4 linked regions of the Drosophila melanogaster genome follow. The protein of the gene in region 3 interacts with the protein of the main gene of each other region in a pairwise test. Each region holds a gene or a part of one and is shown on either strand. Other genes may lie near its edges.

Evidence for each region.
Region 1: the proteins of CG12766 (region 3) and Ser7 interact in a two-hybrid assay, tested with the Drosophila melanogaster proteins (one large-scale study listed by BioGRID).
Region 2: the proteins of CG12766 (region 3) and CG13369 interact in a two-hybrid assay, tested with the Drosophila melanogaster proteins (one large-scale study listed by BioGRID).
Region 4: the proteins of CG12766 (region 3) and CG15611 interact in a two-hybrid assay, tested with the Drosophila melanogaster proteins (one large-scale study listed by BioGRID).

The regions. Positions count from the first base shown.
Region 1 is NC_004354.4:9,863,296-9,867,593, reverse strand, and holds Ser7 (Ser7), read right to left. Parts: upstream 2,362-4,298; 5' UTR 2,258-2,361; coding exon 2,197-2,257; intron 2,136-2,196; coding exon 1,987-2,135; intron 1,623-1,986; coding exon 639-1,622; 3' UTR 524-638; downstream 1-523.
Region 2 is NC_004354.4:621,787-625,267, reverse strand, and holds CG13369 (uncharacterized protein), read right to left. Parts: upstream 1,801-3,481; 5' UTR 1,587-1,800; coding exon 1,534-1,586; intron 1,473-1,533; coding exon 924-1,472; intron 862-923; coding exon 549-861; 3' UTR 503-548; downstream 1-502. Other genes in the region: CG13364 (uncharacterized protein), read left to right, coding at 178-372; Vsp37A (vacuolar protein sorting 37A), read right to left, coding at 2,640-2,834, 2,910-3,061, 3,122-3,377.
Region 3 is NT_037436.4:3,938,101-3,942,091, reverse strand, and holds CG12766 (uncharacterized protein), read left to right. Parts: upstream 1-1,966; 5' UTR 1,967-2,007; coding exon 2,008-2,085; intron 2,086-2,204; coding exon 2,205-2,372; intron 2,373-2,440; coding exon 2,441-2,613; intron 2,614-2,732; coding exon 2,733-2,877; intron 2,878-2,935; coding exon 2,936-3,133; intron 3,134-3,196; coding exon 3,197-3,397; 3' UTR 3,398-3,468; downstream 3,469-3,991. Other genes in the region: CG10863 (uncharacterized protein), read left to right, coding at 56-228, 322-466, 523-720, 788-979.
Region 4 is NT_033778.4:17,107,197-17,114,882, reverse strand, and holds CG15611 (uncharacterized protein), read right to left. Parts: upstream 6,040-7,686; 5' UTR 5,891-6,039; coding exon 5,607-5,890; intron 4,941-5,606; coding exon 4,809-4,940; intron 4,717-4,808; coding exon 4,383-4,716; intron 1,566-4,382; coding exon 1,479-1,565; intron 1,416-1,478; coding exon 1,311-1,415; intron 1,255-1,310; coding exon 1,123-1,254; intron 1,059-1,122; coding exon 606-1,058; 3' UTR 523-605; downstream 1-522.

The sequences.
Region 1 (4,298 bases), on a different chromosome or scaffold from region 3:
GCAGAGTACACATTCAGTTTAAATTAGTAATAGTTGGTTGTAAAAGAAAATCCGACCGCTTTCAAAGTACACTTCATATGTCACCAGTATATTTTCGCTAAAAATCAGAGCAATCTGCAGTTACTGGGCGTACATCACCAACATCATCATCATTTTAAGCGTTTCCGTGTCATGGGCAAACAGTTTAATCTAGACCCAAATCGAGATTGTAGGCGATAGGTTGACATGTTTAGTAAATTGCACGCCGGAAATCAGTGACGTCAGTGATATGACGATCCGCAAAACGAGACAAATAAAAAGAGAGGGAAAACCTTCCTGGGGGAAACCCCTGTGGTAGCTGCTTAAGCATTTCATACGCACCGTTGCCAATAAGTCATATGCTCCCGAACGTCAAATACACTGTCTGCACATTTGTACAAGGGATTTGGAATGCTTTGAACAATATGGGATTTTTTTCGTTAGTTGAAAACACAAATAAAAAAAGTCACTGCGCTTCATGTAAAAAAAAAAACATATAATAAATATTGTATGTATTTCAAAAAAATTGCTTTTAATGTCATTGAAGGTCACAATGAGCTTGACTTTGCGTTATGGGTGCCCAAAAATAGCCGAAAACGGAAACGAAAGTCGAGAGTCGCTTAAATGCGATTGGCTCGAATGGTGCTTTCTATCCAGTCCATGTAGCTGCTGACCCGGGTGTAAATTCCGGAAAACAACGCTGTGCCACAGTGTTTCCGTCCAATGGAGACCACGCCGGCCAGATAGACATATCGATTGCCGCTCGCCGTGTTTGCCTCTACGGTCAGTGGTCCGCCGGAGTCGCCACTGCAGGAATCAACGCCAATCTCGCCGCCGGCACACATCTGACTATCGGCGAGCGTAATCTTGGTGTCCTTGTAAAACGCCTCCTGGCACTGATCCTGCGGCTGGATGTGCAGCATCGCCTTTTGCTTGATCTTGCTGCTGCCGCTGGACTCGGTCTTGCCCCAGCCGGAAACATCGGCGGCTGAGCCGGCCAGCTGATTGGCATACCTGCCCCTCTGCGGTGGCAAACAGACGGGCTCCAGATTCTGCATCTGCAGCCAGTTCACCGGACGTGATAAACGCAGCAGGGCTATATCGTTTCTATAGTTCAATTCCGAGTACTGCGCATGCGGCAATATTCGATCGATGGTCACCCGGATATGCGGCGGAGCACATTCGCGTACGCCATTCAAATCATTCTCGCAATCCGGATCGGTGTCCCGATTCCATTCACCCAAAATGGCTGCGGTGAGATTCCTGCCCATTGTGTGAATGCAGTGGGCGGCCGTTAAGAGCCATCTCTGGGCGATAAAGGATGCGCCGCACGCATAGTCCTTGCCACCGCTCACTGTCTCGTACTCCAGCAGAGTGGTCCACGGGAACTCGAAGAGTCCGGTATTATGACCACCGACCAAGCGAAACGAAAAGGCGGAGCCGCAGTACGGATGCTCGGGCAGTTGGTCGATACCGCTGGGTGGGCGTGGCGTGGTGCGAGGCAGCAGTTTCAGCGTTGTGGTGCTGCTCGTGGCATTAGTGGTCCCATTACTGATCCTGGGTGCCAATGGCGGTATAATATTCGTCTCGCGGGGGCAGCAAACCTAATGGGAAATAAATAAGATATATATATATTATGGTGCATTGTATATATAAACATTTTTGGAAAATAAAAACTATAAGCTCAAGTGAAGATTGGGTTGTTTTACTATGGGTATATCAGCCGTTTTAGTTTTTTTAATAGCTCTCTAATTTCCGTTTAAATCAAAAAATGTATTACAATCAATTATGTACAAATCGCAAAGTAAGACGTAAATAAACTGTTAAAATAGCTGTTAATGCTAATAAATAGCATTATTCAGGTGAAGAAGATCTCCACGGAGCGTGGAAAACTGGTTGATGGTGGGAAACGTGTTTGCTGAACATCGGGCGAATATATACATATATATAGTATATAATACCACTTACCAGATCGGGTCGCTGGCGGGAGAAGCACTGTTGTTTGCTGGCCAATTCCATAAGTTTATCTACGGCATAAAAGTCGCAGTCCTTCTTCTCGATACAGGTGCCCCTACCGAATTCCACCGAGTTGCAGTTGCCAAAATGCATGATAGCTTCTAAAGGATTGAAAATGGGTTAGGAAATCTCGAAGGAGCGGTGGTCTTGAGTAAAACTCACTGCCAAATTGCTGGGCCTCAGCCCCCAAAAGGGTCAGGAAAAGCGGTATCAGCAGGAGCATTTTGCGAGGTTTTCCTATTTTCTAATTCCTATCAATTTTCTATTTTCCTATTTTCCGCTCCGATTGATTCTCGAGTCGCTAGCAAAGCTGCGTCCCCGGTGGCTGGCAATCAACTACTGATCTACTGGCGATCGGCAACCTCAAGCCGCGACCCTCGGAAGCTTTTTGAATCTCAGAGATTGGCTTTTGATTTGCCTTTTCCATCGCCGACGCTGCGTTGATTAGCTACGATCGGATCGATTCTCATTGATTGCGGCTGGGCGGGAAAACCCGTTGCCGCCTTCCAATCGCGCTTCCAGTCGCTCAATAAATTTAATAATATACTCGTAATTATATTCTCATACGTGTGCCATTTAATTCGCACCGCAAAAATCCACTGCTTTTCGTTGCACATTTTTCTTTTTTCAGTTATCAGGTCGTAACGAAGGGAAGTGTGAGCATTCGTATTTGTAATTGCAAAATGACCGATTCTCTTTGTGTTTATTAAAAAAAAAAAAGTGCAGTACAGTAGCTGATAAGACGGTTTAATGAAAATACCTAAATATAAATATTTCAAGATCGAGATGAAAAGAAGAATGTCTTTGCATTGGTGCTATTGATTTGTTTATACACTTGCTTTAATTATTTAATTGTAATTGCATATACATAGCAAATAAATATTTTTGCATAGTTTCTTTGATAAATTCTATTTCTCTTGCTGTGCAAACATATGAGGTTTAATGAAAAACAAAGGAAAAAAGAAAAATCATATTTAAATGCATATTGATTTATTGAATTATAGACTAAATATATTGGCTGCTAAATCAGGTTTGATAACTGTTCCGAATAGATTAATTGGTGATCATGAATTAGTGATAGCTGCCTGGGAATCTCTTATTCTGGTTTTCCCAAGACGGCATCTTACCGCAGGAGACTTCTGGAGAAAACCCGGATTGGATGCAAAACCCAGACGAATCAATGCACTTACCATTTAAAGATAATGCTGCGGTTTTTAGGTTTAAGAGTCAGCTTTACTATTAATTCGACTTTCGCTTTTAGCCAAGAACGAATATTACTGCGTTCAGTCAAAATAAATTCGCTAAAATTTATTTCACGTACAATTCTGGACTATTTTCCACTTTCCATCCTCTGCACTTTTCCCCCGCAGACTCACAGCGAAATCTACGAAAATGTCACAGCAAAAACCGCACGCAGCACCAAAGTTGCAACTTTTTGCCCAGTGGGCGTGGCAGATGGCGCCTTCTCCTTCGGCTATTCTGCTTCTTCTTGGTCCACAGCACGCTGTGCTCTATTAGAATCTTCTTTTTGTCTGCTGCCTTTTGCATAAATGCAAAATAGTCAAGGCTCAAACTGTGCCAGCTATGAAAATCTGTCTGGGAAAATGGGGAAAACCGGGGCGATATGTCCGCACGCAGGATACGAAATTTGAAATGTTGCAGCTGCATGGTCAACAGCAACAATAATTTTAAATACTTCGGGGATACGCCACTTGTGCTACCTCTTTAAAAGTCAGCAAAATATTTACCAATATACAAAAAAAAGAAAAGAAATATAAAGCACATTCTAATGAGCCCTAAAATGTACAAATTGCCCTGAAAGTAACGACACATTTTTCATCCTTTTTCAATTCACGTTTGCATGCTATTTCCTGCTAATACACAGCCAGATTAATTTCATATTTATTGGCCGGCTTTCGGAACCCACGACCGTATTCCATTGGATCCTTCCACTTGATTGCAGTTACCAATTTCCAGGCCACAACTCGAAACGGAAGTTTTCCTGCCCACCGAGATGCGTCTGTCCTGTGACTTGGCTTTTCTTTCCTGCGAACTGTTTTGTAGTCCTGCTCGTCCTTTATTATTATTTTTTCACAGCACGCAAAACTTTGTCCAGAGCTGTGACTTAAAAGTGGGCGGGCTTGGCTCCATTTGGGCATTACGTGCGATGCGGGTGGGCGTGGCTGGCATGGCGCTTGGGTGGCAGGAAGCCAAACTTGAGGCAGAGCAGAAGTATCTGTTGCAATGTCACCGACTTGAAATGG
Region 2 (3,481 bases), on a different chromosome or scaffold from region 3:
TATGTCCAGTTCCGATAACACGCACAGCCAATCGAAAGCGCGAAGCTATCGATTGTTCTCGTGGTTATCGTGCAGCGGAAATCGGAAAAACGTGTGAAAAAGGTGCGTGACTTTTTGTTGTGGAATCCAACCCGATTTTCATAGATTTTTCCTCCCACGCAGTATAAGCGAGCAAGTATGTCTGGACGCGAGGGCGGTAAGAAGAAGCCTCTGAAGGCGCCGAAGAAGGACTCCAAAGACCTGGACGAGGACGACATGGCCTTCAAGCAAAAGCAGAAGGAGCAGCAGAAGGCTCTGGAGGCGGCCAAGGCGAACGCCTCAAAGAAGGGTCCTCTCGTAGGAGGCGGCATCAAGAAGTCGGGAAAGAAGTGAAGCTGCCACGCCTCCATCTGTAGTCCGCAACCCACTGGATTCTGGACGCTGAATTGCCAGCCGAAGCACACCCATGTGGACCATAATCTTTTTATACTTACGATTACCATTAAATAGATCATTGTACGTCAGGATAGAGATTTATTGTTGCGTTGCATTCTTTTGGGGATTTCCCTCTAAGCGTGTGGGAAGCTCGACTGCGTCCCGGGTAGCTGAACGGATTGCGAGGCCACGGCACAGGCGGCGGCTATGTGCTCCTCCAGTTTCCTCGTTGGATGACGGGCCAAGTTGTGGGCCAAGGCCCCAATGAAGGCGTCTCCAGCCCCCGTCGTGTCCACCACTTTTTCGGGCGGCACACTCGGCGCAGCCACATGCTGGCACACGCCCTTGGAGTCGGCGGAACCGAAAACGGCTCCTAGTTTGCCCAGAGTTATGATCACCGTGTTGGCACCTGCCGCTATCAGCTTTCCAACCGCATCTTCGGCGTGCCTGGCAGAAGTGGGACCCGATTTAGTTGGCAGTACGACTGGTTTACGCTTACTCGCACTTACTCTATGTTGCCAATGTCGGGCATCTGAGTCATCAGTGCCGCCTCGCTTTCGTTCACACAGAAGATGCTGGCCAACTGAAGAAGTTCGGGGGGTGTGTCGGCCATGGCCGGAGCCGCATTGACGATGGACACGCCCCGGAAGGCTCTCAGAGCGGTCAGGGTGGCCTCAACGGGCGTCTCCAGCTGGCACACCAGAACTTTGGCTTCCTGGAAGAGCGCCTTCGCCGAGGAAACGTCACACGAGCTCAGTCGATTGTTGGCGCCCACCACAATGATGATGTTGTTCTCGCCGCCATCTGACACGGCTATCTGGGCCACGCCCGTCGTTTCCTCCGCCAGCTGCTCGACGTGGTTTACATTGACGCGCTCCTCGCGCAGATGTCTCAGGTAGTCGCTGCCGAATGTGTCTGCCCCCAGTTTGGCCACCAGAGCTGTTCGGGATCCCTGGCGCGCGGCAGCCACACACTGATTGGCGCCCTTGCCGCCGTAGCCAATCTGAAAGCGATGCCCATGGAGCGTTTCTCCGGCTTTCGGTAGACGGGTCGTGTAGCTGGAAAAGGTGTTGTATTTGTAAGATTCTCCTTGGGATCGAGCCTTCTCTGCCCACCTACCTTATAAAGTCAATGATGGCCGAGCCGAACACCAGCACTTCCGTTTGGGCCATTGCTGCAATTGCACTAGTCTCTTGTGGGTAGTCTGTTATTTATAGTTTCTTGTGGAATGGAGAAGCAGAGACGAGAGTTCACTGCCGCTTATCACTCGAGATTACTTGACCTCGGTGGAGGAGGGGAAGGGCGACAGCGGGGCAGCCGAACGAGCACTATCAGCCAACTGGCCCAGTCCGCTTCTGGCCGAGATCGGGGAAGAGGTACGGCCGATAAATCGGCGAACTATATAGCTAAAATACCAAAAAAATACCATGATAACCGGATCATTCATATTTCGAACGAATGATGTAGAACGAAACTTTCGATTGTTTTCGATTTTAACAATTGGAATGCTTAGTAATATATGTACATATGAATAATAATGGAGAAAACGTAGTTATGTTTGTTTAATTGCTTTTAGCTTATGCAAACTAAATTAAGATACTAGCACAAGCCACTGTTGAAAAAAGAAATTTTATATATCTGTTATTAAGCATTATTATTCTTCAATATAATAAAATTATTTCAAACTAATAAGGTTGTGTTATCCTTTGCGGTTCGATTTTATTCAAATCAAAACAAAAATCATTCCAAAAACCATTGTTTTGAAAAACCTTTCCCTTAAATAGAAAGAGACGGCATCATTTAAAGCATAGTTTTTTTTTAATATATATGTATATATGGAGAGAATATATGGATGGGGCTCACGATTAACCAAAAGGAAAAAAAGTAAATAGGTAATACATGCGATTCCGGACTGCGTTCTGTTGCACATAGTGCTTCGTTTCGGGGTACGGATAGAATAACAAGACCCTCTTCCCAAGTAAACGATCTTGGGAAACGAACAACTAGTGCACCTTCTTATTACTTCAACAAGGTTTTGCTTTCTGTTCTGGGAATGCGTGGCCGTGTGTGCCATGATTATGTCGCCCCATCTCTGGCTTAACTTCTCTATTTACTAACATTGATATTCTCTACTATTGCGACGCGGATCGTGGCGGTGTGGGAGGAGTGCGAGGAGTGGGAGGACCGTGCTCTGGATGGCACGGCCAGGGAGTGTCACGGCAATCCTAGATACCGGCCCGCTCCAGAGCACTGAGCTGGGTGCCCAGGCGCTCCTCTTTGGCCTTGCGCTCGGTACTGATCTTCTTCGACCACTGGTACGTGTTGAGGAAAGTCTGCACGTCGGTCTTTCCGTTCAGGAAGTGCTCCACGTGACGATCGCAGTCGCCATCGGCATTGGAAGCTGCAATCTGAAGAAGCTCCTTCAGGGGAAATGGAATGCAAGTTACGGATGGGAATGGTAACTCCCACGCCATTGGCTTTTTAAGGGAACTCACCCTGATATGCTGAGGCGCGTATTCATCCGACTTCTTGAAGTACTTCTTGTTCAGCCGGTCGCATTTCTCGCCTAGGTTTTTTAAAGCTGTAAAATCGTCGCTGAGTCGGCGCTTCAGCTCTACCAGATGAATGCCCTTGCACTCGTTCTCTCCTGGATTGGAATACAGAAGGGTTAGGTAGATTTGCCAGCCTCGGGCCGTGACCTACTCACTTGATATAATCTCCACCTGGTCCATCATTGAATCGAGCTCCTCGTTCAGGTACTGCACCACGGACATCTCCTCGATGAAGTCCTCGAAGAACTCGGGATCCCTGTCCAGCTGTTTCAGTTCGTCCAGCGACAAAGTGCACAGGTTGGGCAGGTTGTCCGATTCGCCGGCCTCCTGCTCCTTGGCCTCACTGCTATCGGTCGGAGGTCTTTGAGCAAGAGAGTGGGCAAGGGCAAGATCCTGTGGTGTAGTCGGCATCTTGAGTTTTCAATCCCAATTTTCGAATGTCAATGTGTCTGCGTTAGATCTATTTTAAATTTAGAATTGTGAACTGTATGAACGGAAGTTTACCGGTTTACTGA
Region 3 (3,991 bases):
GATTAGTCAATTATGAAATGCCCAACATCCTGAAATGGAAATCTATACTCCCCAGTTATGGTGCCACTTCCATGAGCCGAAGAGGGTGGAATATGCGTGCCGCAAGACTCTGCAGAACTTTGGTCTGCAGTACGTGGATCTCTACCTGATGCACTGGCCCTACTCCTACGTCTACCGCGGCGACAACGAGATGATGCCCACCGATGCCAAGGGGGAGGTGGAACTCAAGTGAGTTTTTAATTTAGTCAATTACTTTTCTAATGCGGGTGTGCTTCGTTTGTATTTGCTTGACTCTTAATGACCAAATTTGTGCTATTACAGCGATATCGATTACCTAGACACCTGGCGCGAAATGGAGAAGCTCGTGGAACTGGGCCTGACCAAGAGCATCGGCGTATCCAATTTCAACTCGGAACAGTTGACTCGCTTGCTGGCCAACTGCAAGATCAAGCCAATCCACAATCAGGTGCGTCAATTGTGGTTATGCCTTGGGTTTCATATTCCTAATAGACCATTTTCCAGATCGAATGTCATCCCGCGTTGAACCAGAAGAAATTGATTGCTCTGTGCAAGAAGAATGACATTGTAGTGACCGCCTACTGTCCCCTGGGCAGACCCAATCCAGCAGAAAAGACGCCCAACTACATCTATGATGCCAAGGTGCAGGCAATTGGAGACAAGTACAAGAAGTCCACCGCCCAAGTGGTGCTCCGATATCTGGTAGGGATTACGAACTAGGTTTAATGAGAACAAAAACTCTTTATTAACATAATGTTTATCGAAATAGATTGAGATTGGAACCATCCCATTGCCAAAGTCCTCAAATCCCAAGCGCATCGAGGAGAACTTCCAGATCTTCGACTTCCAGCTGGATGCTGAGGATCATGCCATTCTGGATTCCTACAACACCGGAGAACGTCTGATTCCCATGACCCACGCCATCAAAAGCAAGAACTATCCATTTAACATCGAGTTTTGAGCTGGAAAGCAGGAGCAATGTTTGATATTAATTAAAGTGGTTGTTAAATCTGATATTTTGTGTACATATACATATGTTTTTTAAAAATAAACACCAATAATAATTATTTTTGAGATCTTTTTTCATGTTGAAATATTTATGTTTATTTTGGAGATTTTTATATAACAAGCACACTTATTTTTTTTTTTTTACATAATATCGCATTAGTTTTACTTTTAAGCATTTTGATAGTACGTAATTCTTCTATTTTAGTCTTATCACTTGAACTGTTTCTTATTTGCAGTCAAGGGTGTGGCAAATATTTTAAAGGGGCATAAAATATAATAAACATTTGAAGTCATCTATGAAAACAATACGAATTCATTTTGTGATTATATACATATAATCTTAATTAAACAATACCCTTTTTTGGACACCACTGCTGAACATTTAATGATTTGAGAGAGAGCTTTTGCTCGATCATTTAGTTTTTAGTGTGGGCTTGGCATGGAAAATTCCACTTAATCAAAATCATTTGGTCTAGTACAATTTCGCCAACACTTGTCTGAATTCAATTATTCACAACTGCAAGGCAGATTGCAAAAATGAAAAGCTATAAAAGGGAAGAGAATATAAACAAACCCACATGTAATAGGTAAATAAACAAAACTAGCGATAAAGTTAACCGAATCAGCTTTGCGCGCCACTCAACTATCAAGCTATCGATAAGTGTTTTTCAAAAGTGTTCCCACATATTTTTAAATGGGATTTTACACATGATTTGGTTTGGATCATTTATAAAAAATATGTGTTTAATTTATCCTTATTAAAACATTAAAATAATGCATTTAATATATTGGTTAGCACACTTAGAACCTACGCTCCTTGCGTCTCTATAAACTATTTCCAAGTTTCTCTGCCAGCTTGGCCGTGTTTTATCTGCAAATGCAAAAGGTCTTTTGAAGGTTCTATGGGCCCATTCGAAAACCTTATAACAGAGGTGAAGCGAGCAACCCAAGCATTCAGTGTTCAACTTTGTAACCGCGAAGATGACCGGGAAAGTGGAGTACTACTTCAAGCACAACGACGGAACCCATATCCAGGGAATCGGACTGGGCACCTTCGCGGTATGACATTGACTGGTTGATCATAGCATATCCGATACGGATCAGGAATGTCGCCTATCAGTAGCCGGGTTAACGTCATTTGAAGAACCGCTAACGTTATTGATGACTTGTGATTTCAGTCGACGGAAGGCGATTGCGAACGGGCAGTTCTCCACGCGATTGATGTGGGCTACCGGCACATAGACACCGCCTACTTCTACGGAAATGAGGCCGAAGTGGGTGCGGCGGTTCGGAAGAAGATTGCCGAAGGCGTCATCAAGCGGGAGGACATATTCATCACCACCAAGGTCAGTTGGCAAGTTCTTATAGCAGGCATATCATAAACTAATCCTTAAGTGGCCACATATTTCCGCAGCTCTGGTGCAATTTCCATGAACCGGAAAGGGTGGAGTATGCCTGCCGAAAGACCTTGAAGAATATTGGCCTGGATTATGTTGACCTCTATCTGATTCACTGGCCTTTCTCCTATAAATATCGCGGTGATAACGAACTGATTCCCAAAGATGCCAATGGAGAGGTGGAACTTGTGTGAGTAAAATGAATAATATATGAAATATTTCGAATCGATTGGCACTTACAAGTGATTGTGAAATGCGCCTTCTATTATCAGTAATCTTACTATGCCGTTTACTTGCTTCAAACTACAGAGACATTGATTACCTGGACACTTGGGGCGCCATGGAGAAGTTGGTTGACCTGGGCCTGACCAAGAGCATCGGAGTGTCCAATTTCAACGAGGAGCAACTGACGCGCCTGTTGGCCAACTGCAAGATCAAGCCAATCCACAATCAAGTAACTTAGTCACAGGATGTTCCCTCCAGTTTCTCAACTCATATTGTTCTTTCTGCAGATTGAGGTACACCCCGCGTTGGATCAGAAGAAACTGATTGCCCTGTGCAAGAAGAATGGAATCCTGGTGACCGCCTTCAGTCCACTGGGCAGGCACAATGCCGAGTTGAGGACGCCCACCTTTATGTACGATGGCAAGGTTCAGGCCATCGCAGACAAGTACAATAAGTCCATTGCCCAAGTGGTGATCCGATATGTGGTAAGGATTTTCGATTTAGGCCTTATGTTGAACCGGATTTCTCATGATGAATTCTAATTTCAGATTGAGCTGGGAACCATCCCGCTGCCCAAGTCCTCCAATCCCAAGCGCATTGAGGAGAACTTCAATGTCTTCGATTTCAAGCTGGATGCTGAAGATCATGCCATCTTGGACTCGTATCACAATGGAGAACGTGTTGCCCATGCCCGACAAGCCATCAAGAGTAAATACTATCCCTTCAACGTGTATAGTGCTTGTTTTTGATACAACAAATATATTTAAGTTATTATGATTAATAAATAAATAGTAACCCTTGTAAGGGAATGCCCAAAAGCAAGAAGATTTCTAACGTCATTTACAATCGGTAAGTATTTTTCGTAAGTGTTTTGTATATGTCTTTTTTGGCCTTATCATCACAAGTACTTCCCATTGATATTCACATGGATTGGTTAATAAATCAAACAGCGCGGCACTTTTTTGTTCCAGTCATTCAGTTTTTTCTTAGAGAATGTATATATTTCTTAATGCAAAAATTTAAAAACTGATATACTTTTACAACAAAAGTGAAAACTTTTATTTTTGATTGTATTTAAATCGAAGTTGTACCCGTATCATAATGCACAATAGAACAGATAATAGAAAATAGGGTAGCGGATCCATTATGAAAGTCAAGTTCTCGATAAGAAAAATATAAGAAGTCGATTGTTTTACCCAGCTAGCTGTGAAAATAGGAAATAATATGTTTGTATTAAAATCTACCAATGTAAATAACATTAAAAGCTTTTTCTCTGCTGCATTTAAAATAAAATTGAAATGATCAATGTCATGAATAGAAAAATGTTACAGCGAATATTTTAA
Region 4 (7,686 bases), on a different chromosome or scaffold from region 3:
AGAATCTCTTAAAAGGTTTGTTAGCTAAGCTTAGGATAAACACATTAACCGGTTTTAGGTTTTGGCTAAAAATGAATATGTTAAATCGGATTTTAAATCTTGTTTCGACCTTTTGCATGCTGATGCCAAACAAACTAGCTTTTAACACACTCCCAGAAGCCATCAGCATCTTGAGCAGTTCATATTCACATCCTTGGATGCGGTTCATTAGATTTCCGTACGCCGTGACTTGGCTTCTTTTTGGGTGGCTTCCTGCATTGGGCCATCATAAATTCTAAATAAAAAGATTTGTCATAAATTTTTCGGTGGCTGTCACACACACACACACACTGCACGGGAATTGGGATTGCCTTGTGTGTGCCGGCCAAAGGAGATGAAGAGCTATTTACATTTTGCAGCAAGGACAACGACAAGACGGGACTTGGCCACTGCAAAGGCAATTTATCATGAATATTTGTCAGGCGACTGCAGCAAGCTTATTTTACGCTTGGACAAACAGCGAGGACGACACAGAACAGGACTACGAAATAACTTAGCTTTATTCTTAGATATCTACGATCTAGATGGGCATGTGGACATGGTTGTTGCATTGAGGTGGGAACTATTTACAAGTACTGCCAGATCAGCCAGATGGCCAGCACCACGCCGAGGACCAGGTCCATGGGCAGGCTAAAGGTGTTCCGCCTGGCGTGCTCATTGCGTGCGATCTCGATGATCTTGTGGGTGGCCTGGAGCCACTGCTTCACCACCGACGCCTCCGCAGCCATAAAGGAGTACTCCTCCCGCTTGGAGCCGACACTAGATCCGCCCTCCTCCTGTTTCACTAGCAGGTTAATGATCTTGTTGGCATTGGACGAGACCGAGTCCAGTGGCCTCTGCAGCTCCACGTGCTCCCAGTTGTAGTGCTGCCGGTAGGCCAGCCGCTTCTTTCGCACCTCCGTGCACACCAAACAGCGATCGAACAGGAACACCTTGGAGCGGTACTTTTTCCGGGTGGGAAAGTGCTGGGCGTCGAATTCCGTCGCACGGCGGAAGTTTCCCAGCTGCAGGACGTCCAACTGGGGAAGATGAAAAACTAGAATTAGTGGCCAATTCCATATCCCATAGACGCTCATGACGCACCTCGTTGAGCTCCTCGATGTTGGGTATCTCCTCGGCCTGATTGACCACATCCAGAGCGCGTCGCATGCGCGTCTCGAGTTTGCAAACTGCAGTCAGCACTGGCTTGCAACTAATTCCACTTTTGTAGAATTCCTGAAATCGTTAAGATTAGTTAGTAAAGGAAAGCTATGCAAAATCTAGTCACTTACCGATATGAACTGCTGCAGGAGCAATGGATATCTGGTCAGTCTTTGGATGGGCTGAACTAGGAAGCTGTCGATGCCCAGCTTGTCTTTTATTTGGGTTTGATATGTCTAAAAAGGTATTTGAAATATTAACATTTTAGATTAAGGATAGCGCTTGACTGGGTAACTCACCTGCAACCACAGCCGATTATCCTGTCGCAGTTGCATAGAAGACTTCTTCCCCATAGTGAAGCTCACATAGCAATAGAAGCTATTTTTCTGTAAGGTAATAAACAGCAAACCGTATCATAACCCATCTTAACCTCGTCGAAACTGGGAAAACCTTTGTGTCTGGGCCATGTGCTTTATTCTCGCACTTGGCACATCGTTTGATATATACATATGTGTATATTGTACTATATACACACACATGCCAGTTTGCCTGTTGGCGAAATCATAATTTCTTAAGCATTTAAGTCACGTAACTCCGGACTTGTAGAGCGGGCCAAGTGGTAAGGCCTTGGCAAAGCCAGAGTGAAAATTTGGAATTCCTGTCGCTATCTGTGGCCAATGCCAATGCAAATATTTTCCCAAAAAAAAAAAAACCGAAACTAGTGCAAACTGCAAAGAAAATTGTCTGTCTAACGATTTCCTTTCCATTTTAATTTCATTAGCTCCGCCCGACTGCAGCATCAGAATCAGAGCTCGAAGTTCTGCATTTAGATGATATGATAATCATCTCTCTGCGGACTTATCCATAATATTTCCCTTTCCATTTTGCATGTCTAATGCGATTTAGCTGGACAAATGACTGCCTTAAACAATTGCCGCCTCGTCTGGCGGGCGAAAGGTGACAATATATATATATACACACATATATATTTTTGCATATTGCAAATTTGTCTTTGGTGGGCGTGAATTTTATTAGCATGAAATTGCTAGCTACAGTGCATTCCTCCTAATGTAGTAATTCGGACTGTCTAAAGAAAAATGTGGTTGCTTTTTATATATATCTCACACGCTGTTGTACAATATAAATCAAAACTAGATGTCAGCTATGGTTAATGGTTTTTGGCGCTCATCAAATAGTTAACCATGTAACAGATATAATACCTAACAATAATAGCATAAATCTGTTTTCTTCATGTTGTTCAATGAGTTTGCAAGCAAGAAATTAGTTTTTGAAGTATTTTTATTGTTCTCTTAACACGCAGCTGTATAAATAGAATTTATAGCTACAGCGGCTTCCCCATCAATATAATCTTCTTTTGTTTATTTCGCAGCAAACATCTAAAACAATTTGGATCGCCAAATCGATTGCATCAATCTCAGAATTCCCCAACCCCTTTCCTTCAACCACTCAAAAGCATCCATCCGAATGTGGTAAAACTTTTAATTGATTTTCCGCTGGTGGCTGATTCGATTTGATTGTGAGAAGTCTGATCGACACGCTTGTCACTTGATGTTTTTGGCAATTTAAAGCCGATTAATAAATGAAGGCGACTCTATTTATGGAAACTTCTGTCTTTCGAGACCAAAAACTGATTCCGAATCTCCGGCTGGCCAAGATCTAGCATTCATCAATTCTAGGCCTCTCCAGGCTAGAACTAATCGATTTGGCAATTGCTTGTGAAAAGCCTCATTAATTTGCAAATGACGACGAGTCAAGAGGAAATTCATAGCACAAGTTTATATTTATCAACGTTTTGGCTTCGCCTCTTTTGTTTATGCAGCATGCTGCCAAATTTGAGCAGGGAAACGTAAAATTTTTAGAAAATATGTATAAACAAATCTTGAGCAGTTTTTATGATATATTTAGCAAAATATTCGCTTGGCTCTGGTCCTGTGAGTCAGATATGTTTGTTTTGGTTTGGCCAAATTAAAAAAAAAATGAATGCAAAGTGGTTGCGGGTAAAAGGAACAAAAAAAGTGCAAACAAGAGCATAAATCACATCCCAGGGGCTTAGCATGTCTGTCGAACATTAAGTTCTTAAGATGCCAAATCCTCGGGGTGCTCAACAAGAATGTTACCTGCTTTTGGATCAGTTAATAAGCTTACTGTAACTCCTTGCTTAATTTATATTCGGGTTTTCTGGGAACTCGGGTATGACATAAGAGAATTGCGACCGAACAAGAATTCCACAATGCCTCAGACAATTTCCATTTCAATTTAAATTGATCATTTGCGTTGTCAACACTCAGCTCAACATGGCCACATGGCCGCTCTCTAGAGGCCCGAAAAATCATTCCGAAATGAGTACTTTTAACGAGATGATTTGGGGATTTCTATAGCTATGTATATCTGAATATGCTGAAACGCCAAGCCCCGGACAGCAATTGTCGACTCTCCTCACCGAGAACCGATGACGTCAGCTGCCGGCAAATGGAACCCCAGCCCAGAAAAAAAAAATACAATATAGAGTCTGTTTGCCCTAACAATTTTCAACTGATTTTCGTAACTGAGTGTGAGCTTTTGTGGCTGTGTGTTGTGTATTTTCGTATTTTATTACGGCGTTCTGCTGATTACTTCAATCTTATCAGGGGACTTTACTAAGCCAACCCATTCGTCATTCTGCAAGTGATCTGGGATATACATTTGTTTTTTCTGTGAAAATCGTTTATTAATTTTGCACGACACACGCACTGGCATATGAATGAATTTGGCGACACAGTTGTCGCGAGGTGTGAGTAGAAATATATTACTAAAAATTAAATTATAATCATCAATTGAGATTCTGGCACAGTTTGCATAACCCACATTGACTTCATTTGCATTAAGACACGAATCACTCGGCGTTCAAATAATAAAAATAATAAAAAAGCTTAACAAAGCAAAAGATAATAAAGAAACGAGACACGAAATGCAGGTGTCAAGTCCGGGCAAAAAATAAATGTTTAAAAAAAGACTTATCCACTTCATTATGTGTAAATATTTGAGGTTGAAATTAGGCACCCCAAGTGCCTACGGAAGACGAAAGAATTTTGATAGATGAGATGTCGGAACCTGTCTAACGGCTACTTGGCTCAACGACACGACTTTGGCTAATGGACCCAGCCCACTCAGCATCCCCTCCACAAACATGCCCCTTAGCTCACCTCGAAGTGAGCAGCAAACTCATCGAATAGACCTTTGAGATCCCGCTGATTGCGCAACATGAGCGGCAGTATCTCCTTCTCATGCAGCTCCAGTATTTCCTTAATGTTTCCCAGCAGCATCTTTTGTTTCGTTTCGCCACTCAGGGCTTCTGGCAAATCCTCGACATCCTTCAGCTGTCCATAGTTTAGCATACCCTTCTTCAGATTGTTCACATAGTTCACCTCCGTCTGGATGAGCTCGTCGATTATGAAGCTGATCTTCTTGGAGGCATAGATCTCGGTTTGATCGCAGGGAAACAGATTTTCCAAGGACAATGTGTCCTCATCCTCGTGGCTGGACAAAGTGGATGGTCATTACTTAGTTGCCAAATCAATTACCAATAAACGGATATTTAGGATGGCTATGACACTCTCAGCTGTACTTACTACTCATCGCCCAGAGTCTCGAAACTGAGCGTGTGCGATGGGAAGGAGTGGAAGCCATTGGGTGCTCGGTATGTTGGGGATGAGTTCGCTGCGGTTGTTGAACAGGTGTTGATGGAACTCAATGAGATGCCGCTGGAAACAGAACAGTAACGAAAACACAAGAACAGCAAGCCGTGAATGAGGAACACTTGAAAATGATGTGGGTATATAAAAGATAAATGTGCACAACATTAATTATATTCCTAAACACGTACTAGAACTTTAAAACTTCCAGATACTAAGCCGCGACCGTTGTTATTTTCTAGTAATACTTTATATAATGTATGCATAGTGATATTAGTTATCAACTTTATTGCAAAAAAATGCAGATCGTTTATAGAACAAGATTAGAGAAAATACACCATTTATCGCTTTAGTGTTCCACTTCCTCTGTAAAATTTCTCATTGCCTGAAATTTCTTTTAACAACTTCCTTCCTGCGCCTAAAACCAAAACCTTAATAATAAAAACACTTTGCTTATCTGAAATCAGTCGCGGGAATTAACTTTTAACATATTTATCATGCATGTCATGAACTCAACCACTCCCGACAGCAATTACCGTGGAAAGGCTTAAAAATAACCGGGGCGTATACGTTATCTTATCACGTATACGCACAGTAAGTGGTGTAAAACAAGCCAAAGGTCGTACATTCAATAATGGACAATAAATTCGATGAAAAAACAGCAAACAGCTGTCAGATGGTGGGACACGTTCAAACAAAACATTAGGTTAGGTAAACAGAGGGTTTTATACCTACCTATCGCTGTCCAGCAGACTTATTTGCTTCTCCAACTTGCCGTTGCTCGATGCCTGGGATTTCGGTAGAGTGGTGGCGATTGGTGAACTGGGTGACTGGGACTCAAGTAACGGGCATTCTTTCGCTGGTGCCTTGTCCACCACATCGATCGATTTGCCATTATCGGCATTATCGTCGAGTATATGCAAGTAAACGTTAAGAATTTGCACTAGAAATATCACAAGAAATGTGAGCACCACCGAGACCACATCGAACAAATTTAATGTGAACAATGACAACTCCATATTGGTTGATTTGGTTTTTTTCACAGCTCACTATAGACTAAACCACCGCCGAATTCGACGCATATCGATGGCAAAACGTGTACTATATATGGCCAGTAACAGTATTACGATACCGATCCGTAGCGAATCAAACGCGAAACTCGACTGAGCTAAAATTCCGCTGAGTATTTGCAAAGACTGAAAAAGCTTCAGCTTCAAAAGCTCATGACGATCGTTCTCTTTTTTTTGTGCCGAATGCTCTTCAATACAAAAAAAGCTAAATCTGACCACGCGTCGAGCATTTTGTTTGTAAACATGAAAAACAATTTGAAACCATTCCGATGTCTGGCATTGGATTAGAATTCAACAAAGTCCGTAACACTTTTGCTTTCATCGTGGCAATAATTCCGTTGGATCGTTTATGATTTCATATTTGCATATCAATTAGGCCACGAAGGCTTTGGCTAATGGCCGGGCAATAACTGTTATTATGGCCACTACCACCTATAATCAGCGATTTCGATATCGCCTTGAACTTTCGGGTGCATTGAAACTGGTTACCTATTGTTTCGTTTTATCGGTTTTCGGCACTCTGCGAATGGAGTTATAAATCAGAAATCAGAATAGTTATACGCCAGAACGTAAATTATTTTCCTACCCATTAAACGTTTAAGAGTGCAAATAATGATGATCTCATACAGATCATCGGGAAAACGATAATTGTCATTTGTATTTGTGAATTTCACCAGTTAAATTGTTCACATTTTATTGTTTATACAATTGATTTTGCTGGACAGACTGTATCAAAAGAATTCCCTGATGAGGCAACACAAAAAAATAAGAATTATAAATAAACACCGAGCACTTCTGGGCGCGATTGATGAGCTGCAAGTGGAATGATGAGCATGGGGATCTGATCGGGGGACCCAGCAGGCAATTATTGTTTGCCTATATTTATTTATATGCGCCATTTGTATTTTTTTATACATTTTCTTAGTGATGTCACAGGCGGGCGCAAGTGCCACTCAGAAACAAGTTGTTTCGCTGTTTTGAGTATTGCGTGTCGTATCATTAACAATATTAAGAGTGATGAGGTGGTTTGCATGAATTGTATGGATCGTTGGGTGGCTGTAGATCGGAGATCGCGGGGACTTGGGGCAGCGAATCCGTAACAGCTGCCCCACGTCTGCTTCTCATGACAACGCCGATGGCGTGCGACCTTTCCATGATAGATTCATTTGTTTTGACGTCTGTGAAGCGTGTGATTTCGCTAGCGGAAAGTGGAAGGAAGTGACGGTTATTCCTAAAATATGGTACACAAATATTTCCTTAATTAAGAGCAGTGGGAAATCGTGATAAAAATAATAACCGAATCACTGGTTTCATTGTATCGCATGTGTATTGGTTTTTAATGTGCTGTTTGATTATTTAAGTATCTTCCCAATTTTAAAAAAGATATCGGTGATTTTTTGAACTTTCCATATTATTTAACCTTTTATTTTTTAATCCATATCTACGAATAACAAAAATTGCTTATCCAGCTAGGCACAAGTAAACGTTCAACGCGTTGCGCTTTTTGACAACAATAATACAGGAATATATACAACTTAATTAACAAGTTACACTTATAATTCAATATTTGGTTACTTAGCATTCAAAGCGAAAGGCGTTCGACTCCCGATCTCCTTGTGCCACAAACAATGAGCAGCAATTTGAAACAATTTCGAATATTGACTTGGCTCAATGGCCCCCGACAATTGGCCGCCACTGGCAGCTCCAGATGTAATTGGACTGGATTCCTTATACATCGATCCTGA